Linked DNA regions of Solanum lycopersicum. The protein of the gene in region 2 interacts with the protein of the main gene of each other region in a pairwise test. Links are inferred from orthologs where the notes say so. Each region holds a gene or a part of one and is shown on either strand. Other genes may lie near its edges. The genes, in order: COP9 signalosome complex subunit 7 and eukaryotic translation initiation factor 3 subunit E.

Region 1 (9,058 bases), on a different chromosome or scaffold from region 2:
ACTAATATTGATCGGATCGAACATCGAAAGGATTTGAGAAAAATCGGAATCATTAACAAGATGGAATTTAATGTTTTCAAGTACGGAAAGATCAGAATCTGAGATGGTTGTTGATTTTTGTTGGTACATTTTTTGAATTTTTAAGGAAAATTTTGTTAAAATTGAAAGAAGTATTGAGCTGATGAGTGTGAATGAATGATGAAGTTTAAATTAATTTTTTTTCATTATATAGGGAACCATATTGTCCACTATTTATTTAAAAATAATATTTATGTGATCCAACACATGTTTTTATTTTCTTTTTTAAAATTATCAAGAGTGTTATTTATAAGAATTTCGTGGAAGCAACGAGCCCATCAATCAAAGTAGTTATTTTTAACATGTCTTTATATTTTAATAACTTTTTTTTATTCTTCTCTTTATATTATATATATAATATAAAAGTTGATTTAATTATGTATTATTCTTGGTATGGACACTGAGGTATCATTTTGTTTTGTCCAATAAGGTACTATTAAATTACCAACACTTTTTTGTTCGAGGTATAATTTAGTTTCCACGAAGCAAGTTGAATATCATGAGGTATCAGATATGTAATATGTATATTGTAGGTGAAAGATAATAAATATTTTGTAAATTTAATTGAAATTTGTGTAAATTTATTCAGATATCACGATTATAAAAAAGAAAATGAAACATCTACTCATTTGATAGGAAATATTACTTTATTTTCTGGTTAGCTGTTGCTTATATTATTAATTCCTTCTTTTTTTAAAAAAAAATGTTCGATATGGCCAACTTTTTTTAGTGGTATTTATAAATTGTAATCTATAATCCCAACGAATATACAAGTACGTATGTCTTATATACTTATAAATATAGAACAAGTCAATTTTAAAAAATTAAAAGATTACAAATTATAACATGTGATGATCTGAACGCAAACTAAATACTATAATTTATAAAACATTAGTTTTAACTAGAAACAGAACGTATTTGGTCCCTGACTTTATGTGTTAATTTCAATTTTAGTCCCTATTGTTTTAATCGGAGACATACTTTTTTTTTGGGGAAAAGGGTCAAATATGCCCCTAAATTATTCGAAAAGATTTAGATATACTTCGTTTAAAGTTTGGCTCACTCATGTCCTCGCCGTTCAAATTTTGGCTCAGATATGCCCTTGTGGACGTTAGCTGGTATGCTGGTGGTAAGGTCAAAATGACATTGCAATTCCATGTGGCATTTAAAGAAATAAAAAATAAGCTGAATATGCCCAGCATACCAACTAACGTCCACAAGGGCATATCTAGGTGAAAATTTGAACAACGAGGGCATGAGTGAGCCAAACTTTAAACAGAGAGTATATCTAGACCTTTTCGAATAGTTTAGGGACATGTTTGACCTCCCCCCCCTCCCCCTTTTTTTTTTTAAGATAAGAATTTAACTTGAATAATTCAAAATAAAATTAACGAAAAGAAAATTATGAAAGTCTAAATCCAGTAAATATATGAGTAGTTCAAAAACTATTTTAGACCCCAAAATGAATCGAGAAACTAATGATATTTTTAATACCAACAACAATCTTGTTGAAGCAACTTAATTGTAGCATTTCTTTCTCTTGAATTTATATCCACCAATATGTGAAGATATGGAGAAAGAGTAAGATAAATTTAAAATTAGCGAGCGAGGTTAGAATAAAAAAATCCTAATTTTGCAACTAAAATTAGCAAAAACTATATAACAACAATATAGGAATATTTTATAATTTACCAATAACGTGTAAATGAGAGTTGTTAAAAATAATCAAAGTCAAGATGAGAAGGAATATTTTGGAACACCATTTTCCTAGTCCGTACATATGACATCATAGTCCAAGAAAAGTATATTATTAATAAATAAACAAACTTTTATCATAGTTATTTTTTTTTACGAAAAAAAGAAATTCGAACCAAAGCTGTACAGAATATTTAGATCCACAACGCTAAAAAGGTAAAAATCTTCGTAAAATGACATTGAAATTCATAACTTGATATTCCAGGAAGGTAATAATAACTTTATATCAGACATATTTAGAGGAGCTTCTAGAAATATAAGGTATAATTCTCTGATTGCGCATTCTAAATTCTAGATAATTATATAACGTGATGAAATTATCCAAGGTTTTCTTCTTTTTCTTTTTTGAGTCTAGAAGCAATCCTAATTATATTTATTATATACTATAGAATATAACCAATTTAATTGTAAATTAACTACCCACAATCTCAGCAGAAAAATTCATCACCTCATATGATGAATTTTATCTTATGAAGATGGAAAATTACCTGTACCTTAAAGCAATCACTCAAAACAAAAACCTGGGGGAAAAAAATCATGAAAGCATATAGACTTGTATGAATGTAAAATGAATCAGCTCCACAAGTTTCAGCCGCATCATCATCGTCGTCGTCATCATATTAAAATCTTTCCAACTCAAAAAAGGCAAACAAGATGGAAATAATGGAGTTAAGTGCAAAATATGGCTCTATGGGGTACTTCGAGTCTACAAGTTCCATTCACAGCATGACAAATTTTTAGAAGGGTTGAAACTGTCTGCTAAAGCAGAAAGCATCTATGGTAAAAAAAAAAAACTGGCCAGCAGCCACTCTAATTCTTCCTAACATCGCCCCCAACTCCATCACCTTAACCAATAGGGTGTCGTCTCCTGCAAATTTTACAAAGTTAAAAATCAGCAGATGAGAGAGACTATCTATACAATATATAAATACACACTAACCGTGTAAAGAATTTAATCTCAGTCCAAGTTACCAATAAGAGTAAAAATACATTCACGGGAGTGTAAAGATATTAGAGAGTAAAGACTTCTACGGTTTCTAGCATTCAACTGGCATGGAAGGATAGATGCGGTTTCATGTCTCCGCCAATTCATATTTTTGGTTTGAAGCATTCTTGCAATGGATTGAAGTGACCCTGCAGTCCCTACAGCACACACTTGTGCATCATAGGATCTTTCTTCCCTTATCAGATTTTTAATGTGATATATTTCATAGGTCAATATACAGACCATGACTAGCTGCTAAATGACTGGAAAATTTAATCCCGGGATATATAAGACTACTACTACCTCTTCGGTCGGCCTCGGTCTTCCTCATAATCCATCACTCCACCAGATTCAGAGTAGATCTCCTCATGCCCTCTGAAGTCAACGTCGGCCTGCTTACAGTTTGTAGCTTCTGCCACAGAGTAAGTAAGACAGATCGACAAAAATATCCCAGTACTTAAATATAAAGTGAGTCTTCAACATAACAAAAAGCTTAAACACGAACTGAGGGTCATTAGGACTCAAATGGGCAAACTACGAAGATATTCTACCCCAAAAAAGGAATCTCACAACCCAGGTAGACCAAGTCCATCAGCTGAAAGACATGCTCGCCATTCAATATGGCCTGGTGCACTGTCAAGTTATGCCCATAGTTTTTACTTTTTAGAATCAACACAGAACTCATCTCTTGAAAATCTATACTGTACTCACCTTCAAAGAGAGTGACTTCTTCACCTCATCAACCCTTTCTTCAACTTCCTTCCGGTGCTTCCTGTCCGATTCACTCATTGTATCTGCCCATTTGATTTTCTCTTGAATTGACACAAGAAGATTGTCTGAAGTAGTCAACCTGTTTTTTATCAAAAAATTAAATAAATTTGAGAGTAGGTTGACAATTACAGTTAGATCTTATAGTTATAGCATGCAGAACATTCATAGTTCACACTTCACCAGGACCTCTCATTGTAAGACGGAACACATACACCAGAGTAACACCACAGCATACACAAAAACGTCCAACTCTTTTAATCTTATCCCTCACCTAACTTCGGCATTATACCACAAGTCTGCAGATTCAATTTACATTTGATTTATGGCATAGAAAGTTGTGTGGGATTGTACTCAGTAAAAACAATTATCATATAATTTCCACCACAAAAGTTCCAAATTTACATTTCCAAAGTTGTGTTGTTCACATAGTTGCAATAAGAGAATAAGTAGAACTACTAATTGAAAAATAGATTAGGATAATCAACAGTTGTAAAAATGGCAACAATAAGGCTGGAAGACAATTATTAGCTCAAACAAAATGAATGATCATCTTGACATGATTTCTCTTTCATTTTTTAACAAGGTAGATAAGTTCACTAAAAATAGATGATTTTTATGCCATACCAGAGAGAACTTAAATGAAGCTTCATAAAAACATACAACTAGAAGGCAAGTAAGCAGCCTTTTCACTGACCTCTGAGTCAGCATCAATTAGCAAATACCACAGAGGTGTTCCGATAAGTTCTTCCATCCTGTGGACCTAGGAGCCCACAGCATGGTGAGATTTTCTACCGACTTGGGGAAGTGTAGGTGGCTCAAACGAAATCATGCATCTCAATAACATTCGCATAATGACATTCTCAAAATTGGGATCCTAGATTGAATCATTTATCGGTCTCGGGATTGGCTCCCGGGATACTAACCTTAATTCCTTAAAACCAGAATAGACAAGGAATAACATGCTGATGTGCTATATAATGGCAACTAATAATGGGTTAAATCTAGTCAATATTCCAAAACTAGTGAACATAGATGCGTCATCTAGGCAAGTTTGTGTGAACAGTCTCAGCACAACTTCACGCCGAACATGACTTCGACACATGCCCGACACAATTTCATACTTAACCAATTTATTGACTAATAAATCATCCAATGGACACAAGGACTCAACAAGGACACATCCGAACATCAATCCACACTCAACAATCTCTTTGGCAGGTAAATACGATAAATTTATCAGAAAATAGAACTCTACATGAACACAACTTACTTAGAGAAAAAAATCCAAAGAGGAGATGCAAAATAATACAACCAAATAATAACTAGTTAAATATCTCAAAGTGCGCTCAAATAAAAGAACCATGAATGCAACACCACTACCCAAGAACCTCATTCTATCCTGCTTTCTTTAGACCTTTTCAACAAACACAAGCATTTGTTACTGTTGCCTGATGGCTCTTTACTTGACAAATTGTTCACTTTCCACTTCTCAGCTTTAACAAGCAAGAAGCAGAATTCCCAGAACCCCCAAGGTTTCAGATCTTGACAGCAGGCCTCAATGTTTTACTCCTCCCCTTTGGTACATCCATCATTGAGCTTGTGCCACATGCCAGCATGCGCAATGTTGCCTGTCTTCCCTTCATCATTTCAACCAATGGCACTAAAAGGAAAACTTACTCTTTCTTTAAATCTCATTCTTCAAACCTAACTTCATGTTTTTCCGCCCATCTTCCTTAATCAAACCTACTTCAACACTAAATACAGCCTCCAATGGACCCTCATGACTTACCAGGCCCCTCGTTGCCTATCCATATGAACAGAAAACCACCCACTAACTTACTCTATAAGCGCCTCACCGGGAACACCAAAACCTACATCTCCTTTCCCTTACTCCTAACAGATTTTATTGTTTCTAGCCAGTAGTGCTCAACTTCAAATAACAGCAACTAAATCAGAATAATATGCCATCTGATCATCAATATTGTAGGCCAACAACAATGGCAGATCTTACAACCAAACTGAAATGGCTGCACTTGATTTTCTTAAAAAGAAAAAAAAATGAAGATTCAAAAGACCCACGTCCAAGTTCCATAGCTTTTTTGGTTCGCTATCCGATCATTGATTTTCCTACCTCCAAAAGGAAAGGTACTTCCCCTTTAGGATTAAAAAAATGAAAAAGATAAGGTGACTGAGCTCAACTTTTTCAATAATAACTATTTTCTCAGTCCGTCCACTAAAAATTCCATAGCTTTTGATTCGCTATCCGATCTAGTTTTAAGAGTTTATTGCTTCTTTTTTTGGTAGTTGTGATGGGTAAACCCAGTGTTGATTTTTTTTTAAGGCAGAGCATCCTGTTCTTTATGTGTCCTGCTTTGAAAATTTTTAAAGACTTCACTTGAAACTTTTTGGTAAGTGAGAATTCAAATTGAAATTACAAAGATATGTTTCCACCAGAAGCGAAGTCCTTATTTTTCAGCTTACGATCAATATCCAATTCAGTCATCTTTGTGTCGGCAGCCTCAGCTCAAAGGTATTAACATCACAATCATAAGAGCTGCTCTTCACCATGGTCTAATCCAACGTTATACATTACTGAAGAAATTGGTCAGACCCCATAAGCAGATTATGCAACTCATATCACTTCTATAACCTCAACTAGCTGTTTTGTTTAAGGCGGATATAAAAAAAATCTTAGAAACTGGCATACGAACTACAGCTCAGTAAGTCATTATGAAGGTAACGAGATCAAGACACGAAAGGGAAGAAAAGAGAACTCAACAACTCTTCAAGAACAGAAGATGTTTGTCATATAAATAGGACAACAGAATATCAATAGAAAGATCCTATCGTAAAGTCAATACACAACCCCAAGCCCAACTAAGAAACAACTAAATAATACTCAGACAGAGATAATAGGGCATGATATAATGATATGGCTATCAGAGTCATCTAAACAAGAACATAGATATACCAGTCAGTTAATGTCTGTAGCATATTCCCCAATTGACCGGGTCTGAGATCTCTCCCTGCAGCAAATTGTACCTATAATTGTGCGGAGACAGTTAATTACCCCATGTCAGCACGCTGCAACCAAGAGTTGGCGAAACAGCAAACACACCATACCAACCTCAAAGCATCTTTTCAACTGATCCAGCTTTCCTCTAACTATGCCCTGTCAACGGATGCATAAAAATGGGGAATTATTAATTCTTTTAATAGCAGATTGAGACATCAAATCAGTTATTATCCCAACCCCCAACCCAAAGAGAAAGTGAATAAAGGAAGGGAAGGAAAAGGCAAAGTAAGCCACCAATAACCTATGAGGCACCAGAACCCAATTTAAAAAATAAGTTGAATTTCTATCCAGAAGGCTAAATAAACTATCATAAGAACATCAATAGAAGCAAATTCCTACAATAAACTTAAGTCCGACATACTTCCAATATTGGAAAGTACAAAGTATCTCTATTCATCACACAATGATACAAGGAGTGAGAGCTAATACTCACCACATACATGCACTCATTTATGAGAAAATCTTCAAGTTCACGCACATTTGTGACATCCAACTCCTGCATAAGTTGATCATATGGAAGCTCCTGGAAAGAGGAAAGGAGTCATTACTGGCAGTGACTCTAATAACAAAGGACATCAGTGAAAGAAGTGAATATCAACATCATTATCAAAGGTTGTTGATATATGAAAAGGGTTGTCATGAAGAAACACAAAAGAATGTTAAAAACTGAAAAACATAAATATATTTTGTTCTTTTCCATTATGAGAAATGAACTTGAGAGATATGATAATCATGCAAATCACCGGAAAACATCTCACAGATAGCACGATAGACGGAGTTGTTGACACTGAACAAGGTAAGCATAAAACAAAGTATCCGGTACTTACTTAAAACAGCATACCCAAAGTAATCCCACAAGTGAGGTATCCAGTATTTACTTGAATAGCATTATTAGAGTTATCACCAAATGGAATACTTTATCATAGTGGGATGACTACACTCGCATGTTCCACAACAAAATGAAGGAAACAACACTGAACACATTCAGAAGTAAGGGAGGCTAAGCAAACAACTTTAATAGTACTGATCTGATCCAATGACAATAAATTACATGTACCAATTAATAGATTGTATCCATTACCCAGACCAGATTCAAGAATTCCAACAAACAAGCACCACAAAGCTCAGCCAAGCCTCTTACATTTTTGGCATTAACTAGCTGAAGGGACAAAGTTACTAAGGATGCATCAATTGCTCACTTTTGCCATAAGATAAATTACAATGTCAAAAGGCTTATTCCACTTATATGTAGTGTACCTTGCTTGTATCAGCTAGTGTAAGCACAGTAAGTTGCTTCAACTTGAGAGCTTGGGCAGACGCCAACTGAGGAAGACAGCCAGCAATACCTAGAATAAAACGCACATGCTAAAATTGACAAATTTGAAATGCTACATATAGAACTCAGGAGTACGTCATCTTCCTTTATAAAACAACTATATTTAGTCATAGATATGGTCAATTAGAGTAAGATATTTTCCCTAATCTGTATTTTAAGCAATTATTGTCAATGAAATTTCATCACTTTGGTACTAGGAAAAACAAAAAGGAAATCAAACCTGCAACTGTCTCTGTTTTTGCCTGAGAAAGAGTACATGTGTAAGAGAAATAAACAGTCCCTCTTTCTAGTGGAAGTTTTAACACCAACACTAAATCTTTTTCCAAAAAGGTAAGTGGTAAGTGACAGTGAGCACTAGCAAACTTAAGGATGTTACAAAGCAACTCACCCATGATAGTAAGAAGTTCACAGCAGCAGAAAAGGCAGTTAAGGCCTCCTTTGTTCAGTTAAGATTAAATTAAGATGTCTAATTGAATATGAATTATTAACACGTCTAAATCCGAGTACATTTTTGAATATTAAGATATTGTCTCTAAAACTAATTGAACACATTATAATTAAGATTGTTTGTTTTCAATATCCAAATGTGCATAATTCATCTTTTTAACATAATGAATTTAAATTAAATATTATAGAAAGCTCGTTTAAGCAAAATAATTTATTTTATAGAAATAATATATCAAAGATATAAATAATATTTGATATTTCATCGAACAAATAGAAATTTGCGGGGTCTAAATTCTGCAATTGTAGCGTCGATAGGTTTTCTTATAATTTGGATATGCTATTTTTGGGTCAATCTGTTAGGAATAGGGTTACATAGTTATGGTTCTTTTCCATCAACATTTAATTGAATTCATGACAAGTTATTACAAATACAAGAGCGGGTGACGCATTGTATGAAACAGCATGCGGACCGTGTGAATCAAATATTGTATTGATGATTCACATGGTTTTCTACCATATGCAGTTCAATTTCATTGATTTTACTTAATTCTTAAGTTAAGAGAAGAAAAAAAGAAGACTTTTTTTCATTAGCACTTCTACTCAAAATATC
Region 2 (9,710 bases):
TTGCGAAATACTTCAATCCAGAGGACACATATAGTACTGATCAGGTAAAAAAAACACATCAAAATCAGTTAACTTTTCCAGGTTTCGGATAACTCCAGTAAAATATTGACCTTGTTTCCTAAATAATTACTACAGGACATTGATATACTCTTATCAAAGTTGAGTTATATCCGATCAACGTTGTTTCTATCAGAAGTCTCCTACGTTGAGTTCCTCGATAGAGTTCATGTCTCCGAGATGAAGCTACAAGAGAAGGGGTTATGGGATGTTCCTCATCCATGGCTAAATCTTCTAATACCAAAAAGCAGGATTCTTGAATTTGCTCAAGAAGTTTTCGGAAAGATTCTTACTGATACAAGCAATGGTCCTCTACTCATCTACCCTGTCAACAAATCAAAGTACTACATTCTTGATTCTTCACAACTTACAAATCTCTTAATGATACGCGTTTTCCTAACAGTTATATATATCTTGAATGATCTATGTTTCAGGTGGAGAAAAGGAACATCAATGGTTACACCTGATGAAGATGTTTTCTACCTCATCGCGTTCCTGTCATCTGCTATGCCTTTTTCAACAGGAAAAGATGGACTAGAACACATCATAGATCAAAACAACAGAATACTGAGTTTTTGTGAAAAAACGCGTATTGGAATGAAACAATATTTGCCAAATCACAAGACTCAGGAAGAGTGGAAGCATCATTTTGGTCCTCATTGGGATACATTTGCTAGGAGGAAATCTACATATGACCCTTTGGCTATACTTGCTCCAGGACAGAGGATTTTCAGAAGGACGGCAGACTGTGAACATGAATGATCACAAATGTACATTCTTGAGTGGGACGGGGCGGGTTAAAAATTTTTGAGGTTTTAAGTTCCATCACATCCCATTGTCATCCCTATATGTTATGAAAATCTGGTTATTAGGTGAAGAATTTCGATAAACAATTGTACATTTTCCTTTCCCCTATCCCGGTAGACGAGCAAATCGTATCATATAAATGCTATCCAACTTGAAGATGAGATGTATTGGAGGGTAGGAAGACGATAAATATGAAACGTCACTTATAAACTTCATTTTTTGAATTTGTCATCTATAGATGAATTGATTTTCCAAAATATTTAACCAAAAATAATGCATTGACATCGCCTTGTAATGGACACTAGATTTATTATGTACCTATTGATGAACAGAGGGCTCTAAGTGATCACGAGCGAAGAGTAAAGCATCATATGAAACAAAATGCCCTGGCAAATTCCAGCTAAAACAAATTTTTTCATGGCAAAAACGAGTACTAAAATGCAAAGGCATACCACTTCCAATGGAGACAACACAAGATAAAAAAGAAACTAATGTATAATTCATCATGTATCTCAAAATTTCCTCCAAGGGAAATCCAGGAATTAACATAAGCAACATTCTTGAATATAAAGGTGTTAATCAGGTACGGGAGCAATGCAAAATTGGCACGAGCTTAATGTCCTCAACCAAACTATCTAGCAAGTTGTGTTTGTGCATGTTCAAGAAGCTGACTGACTAATTTGTACGTGCGTCCAGAAAGGGGCTTGGTGTGATCGATGAGCTGCTCGTACCTGAACATGACAATGCTCATAAACATCAGGTGTATGCTAAAATGGGTCAACGCATTGAACATTTCGATAAGGTACATCTGTATATAAACTTACACATTAGGCTGATTTGGTTCCATTGTAACTGTCCCGGTTTCAGTGTCTATCTTGGCATCAAGCTTTGAGGTCCTGATAAGATTCACCATCCATCGCTCTGCCTCCTCAAGGTTCAAGTTAAGCTTCTCAGCTAGAACCCTGACATTTATGAAATGAAAGAAAATGGTTATTAAATGGGCACAACTCTGCTTTCTTAAGCCCTCTCAACAGGTAACAAACAAAAGGGGTATACCTAATATTACAAAAAACTATGGGCAAGGGGAGTGGGAAGGAACCCCAAAATAGATTTAGAAAGTAACTTTGAAGAATTAGCTACATACCCCATGTCAATGCGTTGGTGAATGCGGCAGTAGGTCTCAGAGATAAAAAGACGAGCATTTTCAAGGAATTCATCTCTCAATGGCACAGAGGAGAAACTGCCCTCTTCAGCTCTTTTTCCAAGGAATGGGTCATTCAATATTAGCTGCATATAGCCTCCATGTTAAAATGAGTAAAAAGAGCTGCACTGACGGGAAGAGCTCAGTGGCTATACTAAAGATACTTGGCTTCGAGTATCAGAAACTAGCATGTCCAAAGTCTACAAAACTTGCATATATTTGCAAAGAGTCCTGCGCTTATACTTCCAAAATACAATCTTCACTTCATATATCATATCATCTTAAAGTCAATTACAACTTATTTAAAGAAAAGTTCAGTTTCTACTTCTGATATGCAAGAAATGAATCATACAACTATGATGTGACCATGCATCAAAGCGGATAAGCTACGCACAAAAGCTTACCTCTTCGCACTCCTTCATCTTCTCCTGTGCCCCATCAAAATCATAGTCGACGTAAATACATGCCAAAAACTCTGTGATGGGATCTTTACAAGAGTGTTGCTCCTGCTGAATAACCTTTATAAAGTCCTTAAATTGAGGTCTTCTTCTTTTGTTGACAATAAATGCAATAGCCAAGTACCGCAGCAAGTGGGGAGCACTTGTTTGAATGGCATTCAAGTATCTGCAAGACTTCAATGATTTAGAAAAGCTCAAAGGGAAGATGTAAATCCATAGAATACCAACAAAAGGAAAAATAACAGCTACTTTAATCGAGACATATCAAGAAGAATACTGTCTTAATGTATGTTACCACAAAAGAAGAGCAATATTTATTTCAAACATTTTGGAATAAGAAAACTATATTTCAAACATAATTCTGCTGTATGCAAATAAGAAATACAGTGTGTTCCTGACCCTCCAGATCATGTTTCATTCTAATTCATCTAGTTTTCTCCATTTTCCCACTAAGGGAAAGAACTAGGTAATCGGAGCTTCCTAAAATATTTCTCTACATCATACTCGGTAGGTGATAGTATCAGAAAAAATGCCTAGCTCAAACAGGATGGGGAAATCTAAAATGAAGCAGCAAATGAAAACAATCATCTATAAGCAATAGCAACTAAAGTACAGTTGGCATACTTGTCCTGGTTAAACAGGTCAATGATCAGTGTCCTGCCATTGTCATGGTTGAAGAAGATGAATAGACTCCAATGCATTAGCCATATTCTATTCTGAACTTGATTCAACGGAGTAGAGAAACTCTGCAAGACAAGCGACACTTTTAGTACACTTGGTAAACTGAGGATCATTCAGTTTTTTCCTACAGGATACTCAACTTGGTAAGACTAACTCAAACAGACAGATTGTTGACTCAATATATGCAAAATATTACCTTTGAGTCGATAATTTCTTTCAAGCGGTTGAGTTCCTCGAGTGCAATATCCCAATTCTGCATTAGTATCTCCGCTGCAAGCTTTCCCCACAATGCACTGACGCTCCTGTCACTGTTTGTGCACAATGCTCGGTACTGGTAAAGATAATCAGCAGCACCAGAATAGTTTCCACATTCAAACTGAAATTTGGCATATTGATACAATGCCTCTATCTGGTCCGGACCAATCTGGACAGGTTTGTAAGAGCATTACTAAAATAAAAAATGTATATTCACAAAATTAGCTAGAGACCAACTTCTGTTTGTGATCCCTTTAACAAGTATATTATTAATTATACAACATTAAGTACTAAAGAAGAAGGAACTCTATATCATGTAAATCAAACTAGATCTATGCACCTGGTACCGCTCCTGGAGCAACTGAAGATTGTGCTGTTTGTCAGCTCTCAACTCCTGCACAGCACTGGAATTCTGCAAAAAAGTGATCAATGGGGCTGCAGCTTCCTCAAGTGCTTTCAACCTTGCCACAACCTCGGCTCTCCTCTCCATCATTTCTGAACAATCAAACGGCAATTATAAAGACAGTGCAGAATTTAAACATGTAAAGGAACTCCCAAAATCACTTCTGCTCAAACTAAACTTTTTTAATAACAGAGGAATCCCTGAGGGCAAGTCGCAAATGGTTAGACTCTGTACCGACACGTATGTGTACCAACAGTTTATCTTATCTAAGTACACCAAGAAGGTTTTAATCTACATACATTGCATGCATTTACTGTAAAGCTCAAACAGAAAATCCAGACAACAACGTCAAAATTGCCTCCCATATCAAATCTCTATCTGATCACAACTATACAGATTCCTCAAGGGACAACTCCAAAGAAAACCTACGGAGACTGCCCCAACAGAATTACAATACCCCCACAAGAAAACAACTTCTATGCTAAAAAGGGCACTGCTAAGTCACCAGATTTTTTTACTCTTATACATCAACTATACAGATTATCCCCTTCGAATAAATTTTAAACAACTTCTACAGACCAGAACCATCAAAATTACAACTACCACCATATCACCACCCCAAAAAAGAACACCTTTTGTTAAAAGTGCAAAAGCATTAAGTGAAGCAACAAATAAATAAGCATTCACCAATACGTGGACCAATATGTAAACATACACCAATATGAAGGGAAACAGGAGACACCTGAAGGACAACTTCTACAACTTCTATAGAGACCATATCCATTAAAACTAACAACCCCACACCACACACGAAAACCTTCATGCTGAAAAGGGCACAAGGTATTTCGATCAGTAAGGGCACAAATCAACGGGCATTCATACCAAAGGGAAAGAAAGAGAAACCTTGACGTACAACCCCACCCCACACAACACACAAATCAATGCGTATTCACTACTACAAAGGGGGGAAAGAGATAACCTTGAGGAACAGCACATAGACAACTTGTATAAACAATATCCATAAAATTCACAACCCCACCCCCCCAAAAAAAAACCCCTTTTGCTAAAAAAAAAAAGCACAAGTATTAAGATTAATAAACAAAAAAATCAATTGGAAACACGAAGCGAAAAAATTAAATGATACCTTGAGGCACATCGTCAGTATGATAGAGAGACTTATGAATATCCATAGCATAATCAACCATGTTAGTGTGATTAAGCAGCTCAATCTTCGCCTTGAGTATATATTCATCTGGGTATAATCCCTGCTCTTGCAAAAACTCCAGTAACGGGAAAATCAAGTGAATGTCCAATTGCTGCGCTACACGTGGCGTCAAATCGTACTTCGACGCCATGATTGCTACTGTCGGTAAGAGATAGCAACCACAAAACTCGCCGCCGTGCAGAACCAGAGAAACTGAAAAGATGAGAAGTGGATCGGTAGAAGAAAGATTTCTAGGGTTTCGTCTTTTTTGCTGTAAGGAATAAATAATGTTGAAACTCCCCCTTGGGTTTTAAATATTGTTACCTTTAACCCCATCTTCAATACAACTACTTTTTCTTTTTCTTTTTTTTTTGTTTTGGTTTTGATTTTTACGATAGAAAATAATTTGTTTGATTGAATTTTTAAAAAAATCCAAAAGTGTTGATTTCTAAAAACAATAAGGTAAAAGTATTATCATAATAATATTGTTAAATATTACGCTAACTATTATCAATAATTATTAATTTTTATAATCGATCCACTATCGAACGATGACCATCAAATTATTTCTACTATCGAATAATCTTAGTATCTCTAATTGCAACCTCCTTCAACCATTATTTATTATACTATGTCACTAACCATCTTCAATAACAATATACGTCATTTTTTTACTAATATCGTCAATTATTACCTTCATTTTTAACAATTATAATCAATCACTTATAGTCATCACTTCACGATTATCATTACTAACTATCACCATCTTTGTTTGACCCTGTGAACGTGCTTCATCAAAACAATTTCACTCGAATATGTTAATTTTATAATATTCGATTATCATTTTTTGAACTCTATATACTACTCCTAGGAGTAGTTTTAAAATAAAGATGAGTTCCATATATTCACATGCTATAGTAAAAAGAATAAACAACTTATCTTAAATTATTTTTTTGGGCAACTGAATGCATTTTATTACCAAAGTGGCAAAATATGGCTAAAAAAAACACCAGAGCATATTCCAACTAATGATCGTTATATGTTCCTAAAGTCTTTAACGATATTAATTTTAATGACACTTATCTAATGCCCATGTGACTTTAACACTCTTTATTAATGTCAATATTTTATCCCGCTAAAAATTATTTTCATTAAAGATCACTATGCATAAATTTGATAAGAGGTCTAATAGTATTATCATTCTTGTCGTTCTTGTTTTTAATTCATAGGGCTACATTATTCTGAAAAGTCTTGTAATTCAATACCAAATAAACTCCATATGAATAAAGCACAACCCTTTATTAACCTTAAAATAAAGATAAAAGTAGACTTTTGGGCTCCTTGAAATAGATTTGTTTATATTTTATTTTCTAAAATAAGCCGAACCAAATACTCTTTAAAGTAGTCATGATCGAATAGTAAACACATCAAAAGAAACACAAAGGATTTAGTTTTGATAGCCCATTAACTGCTCTACAACACACTAGACTTCTACAAGCAAGTAATTCAACTTCACCCTGGAAACTGTTTACAAAAACTAACAGAAGCAAACATCTCTCTACTGAAAACAAACGAAAACGAAGCTGGTAAATCATAGTAAGACCACCCGTAATTGTGAAATTCATATGCCTCGTCTCTAAGCAATCAGGAAAGGCAAAACTGTTAGCATGAACGACTCATAAGTGAACGTAGCAGAGCCAGAATATGAAGTATCCTTCTCCTTGAACTTCTCAGTTAGCCCCTGCAAAAGAAATGAGAGCGTATGTGAGAAAAAACACCTAGCTGGATAAAATGGAATGGTACACGAATGCCAGAATATACGAAGTTACTGTAAGCTTACTTTAACGGTGAGGCAGCACCTGAATCAAGCAAATAAAACGGAAGAACAAAAGGCAAAGTTAGCAAAGCATAGAACAAAATAGAAGATATATACGAAGAAAGATTTGCATTGATGCAGAAACATACTCAATGAAGTTATCATATTCAATGGCTCTACTCTTTCCACCAGTTTTATCAAACTTGGAGACCAGCAATTCCAGGATAGAAGGTGATACAGCATATCCCAGGCTAAGTAACGCGTCCCTCAATTCAGATGAATCAATTTTTCCACTCCTATCCCTATCAAATCTCTCGAAAATTCCCTGCATTACACAGGAAGTTCCAATCAACTTCCATAGAAAGGGAGATTTGTTTTCCCAAGCAAAACGGAAAACACAAAGAAGTGCAAAGCTAACCGTAAAAGATTCTTTAACTTACCCTCCATTCTTGGAGACTGTAGAACACTGAAGTGAATTCTTTGGGACCTGCTTACAGGGCAGAAAATAGATCAACAGGCAGAAAAAGAAAGAGGGAAAGATCTATAGGCTCATTGAAAGAACAAAGCTTCGTTAAGGTATATCTCCAACTCAAATTCGATCAACATCATTAAACCATACTCTTGATCAACTTCAAAAACCAATAACATTTGGAATGAAAAATATATAGAACAAAAAGGGAATAGTTCTGCATTCATCTTTCCACTTGAAAAAACATAGAGCAAAAAGGAAGTCTGGCGAACATGTTAGCACACAATCATTTACTACTAGATGCTAAAACTAAAGTTTCTGCGTAGAATTATCAATATACAAAGTTGCATCTTATGTAGGTAGTTGTTTTGCCACCCTAATGGCTCAACACATGGTCTAAAGAGATTCTAACTTCAAAAAAGGAAGGAGAAAGGAAGAGAGGGGAAAAAAGAGAGAAGTCTAAACGGAAGTTCGGCCGCTATCACCACATTGTCAAAGACTTGCTTCTGTTCCTTCCAAAGAGAACTAATAGTGCAAGACAGTGTTAAATTAAGCTAGATATTGCTCAATTGAGAACACCACTTCCATAAGTAGTAGGAACGTCCAATCTGCATTATGTAAGATCTCCATGCTAAGAAAATGTTATTTCTCTTTTTATATGGAAATCCCACCCTACATTCCCCCATTGATGGACCAACAGGGTCTTTTCACACCTTTCTTCCCTGATGACGTTGATTCATTACATCGCCAATTCAGAATACATAAAATGGCCACACAGTCATCAACTCAAGGAACAACAAACTCAATAACTTCCACCTAATCCTGGACGAGGACATAAAGAACAATTCATACAGGAATTTCAATGGCCATATCAAAGTCTTATAGGCCTGTTTAAGTCATATCATCCTGGCCAACATACACTTAAGGATGACCCACCAATACAACCATAAGGGGTTGTTTGGTATAAGGTATGCCTCGGATATCCCACTGGATTAGTTATCCGACCATATATTTATCTGTGGGACTGACTAATACTCCTAAGCAAATGCATGATAAAATAATCACATAACTGTTACCCTTCGTCCCTCATACCAAGCAACCCCTAAAGTCTTGATCAAGATTACTTCTTTATTACGAAAGATTACTCCAAATGACCTTTTTCAACCACCCTCAGTCACAAATCAACTGTATACTGCATGTTGTTATTAATAATTGTACACAACCTAACATTTTCAGCACGAAATTCATCATCGATCTGATCATTTTCTACAATACATGGCAAACACTGAAACATTTCATAAGTGAATTTTGAGCTCAATTATTTGGAATTAAGATTATTACCGATTTTTCTAGTGTTGGTATTGGTGAAGAGATACATAAGCAGATGAACAGTCCTCAAGCTGAAGCTCTGATTATACGAAGAAAGCGCCTTCTGCAGCTCCTTATCATCAATTAACCCACTCCCATCCTGATCCGCGAGCTGGAAACAAGCTACAATATTCGGATCGGTACCCGGTGGAAAAGCAGACGGCACAAGAGATGCAAAAGGGCTACTAGCTCCATAAGGCCCAGCAGGAGGTGGCGCGTGGTATCCACCATAAGGAGCAGACGGTTGTGAGTGGCTATCCTTCGGTGGTTTGTTCGGATCACCGTACGGAGCCGAAGGAGGTGGAGCAGGGTACCCAGCCCCTGCCCCACCGTAAGGGGATGAAGACTGTGGTTTATTCTCTTTTGGGGGTTTATGCGGATCACCGTAAGACGGTGCTCCGGCGCCGTAGGGAGACGGAACGGGAGCGTAAGGGGAGTGAGATTGAGGAGGTGGAGCACCGTAGGGTGATGGTGGAGCACCGTAAGGTGATGGTGAAGCACCGTAGGGTGATGCTGAAGACGGTGGTGGAGCACCGTAAGGTGAAGCTGAAGACGGCGGTGGAGCACCGTATGGGGTGGAGGAGTACGGCTGAGATGACGGTGGCTGGCCGTAACCGTAGCCGGGAACATTGTGCGGGTAACCGGACATTTTTGAAAAGCTAGAGAGAGAAAATTAAAAAGATAAATTTCTGTAAATTAGAAAAAGATAAAAAAAAAGTATGTGGTTTTATAAATAGACAAATCATATAAATTACTACCAAGTAGAAAGGTCCTGGAATTAGGTATTATTTACGCGGTTGCCACTTCTCTTCTTAGTTAAGTTACCGCGGATTTTGCAAATCCAAAGACTACACAAAATACTACTACTGGTTTTTTTTTTTTTAATCTTTTTCGCGTGTTTAATATTTCAATTATTAAATAATTATTTTTTTATAAATTAAAAAAACTTCTATGTAGAGTTGACATATTTATTCTTAGTCGACATGGATGT

The links.
Region 1: the proteins of eukaryotic translation initiation factor 3 subunit E (region 2) and COP9 signalosome complex subunit 7 interact in binary tests that used the Arabidopsis thaliana proteins (3 or more experiments, as listed by UniProt). The link is inferred for Solanum lycopersicum from reciprocal best matches to the Arabidopsis thaliana genes EIF3E and FUS5.

Annotation. Positions count from the first base shown.
Region 1 is NC_090800.1:79,724,616-79,733,673, reverse strand, and holds the end of COP9 signalosome complex subunit 7, read right to left. Parts: intron 8,012-9,058; coding exon 7,923-8,011; intron 7,189-7,922; coding exon 7,099-7,188; intron 6,762-7,098; coding exon 6,717-6,761; intron 6,632-6,716; coding exon 6,561-6,631; intron 3,669-6,560; coding exon 3,530-3,668; intron 3,452-3,529; exon of another isoform or gene 3,231-3,451; coding exon of another isoform or gene 3,211-3,230; coding exon 3,122-3,210; intron 2,702-3,121; coding exon 2,680-2,701; coding exon of another isoform or gene 2,675-2,679; 3' UTR 2,420-2,674; downstream 1-2,419. Other genes in the region: JRE1 (ethylene-responsive transcription factor 13), read right to left, coding at 1-129. UniProt on the Arabidopsis thaliana protein: Component of the COP9 signalosome complex (CSN), a complex involved in various cellular and developmental processes such as photomorphogenesis and auxin and jasmonate responses.
Region 2 is NC_090809.1:60,503,257-60,512,966, forward strand, and holds eukaryotic translation initiation factor 3 subunit E, read right to left. Parts: upstream 5,368-9,710; 5' UTR 5,218-5,367; coding exon 5,007-5,217; intron 3,955-5,006; coding exon 3,800-3,954; intron 3,629-3,799; coding exon 3,401-3,628; intron 3,270-3,400; coding exon 3,148-3,269; intron 2,690-3,147; coding exon 2,470-2,689; intron 2,152-2,469; coding exon 2,009-2,151; intron 1,827-2,008; coding exon 1,689-1,826; intron 1,596-1,688; coding exon 1,496-1,595; 3' UTR 1,259-1,495; downstream 1-1,258. Other genes in the region: CKX7 (cytokinin oxidase/dehydrogenase-like 7 precursor), read left to right, coding at 1-44, 136-398, 492-819; calcium-binding protein CBP, read right to left, coding at 6,703-6,807, 6,907-6,925, 7,032-7,207, 7,323-7,369, 8,693-9,368. UniProt on the Arabidopsis thaliana protein: Component of the eukaryotic translation initiation factor 3 (eIF-3) complex, which is involved in protein synthesis of a specialized repertoire of mRNAs and, together with other initiation factors, stimulates binding of mRNA and methionyl-tRNAi to the 40S ribosome.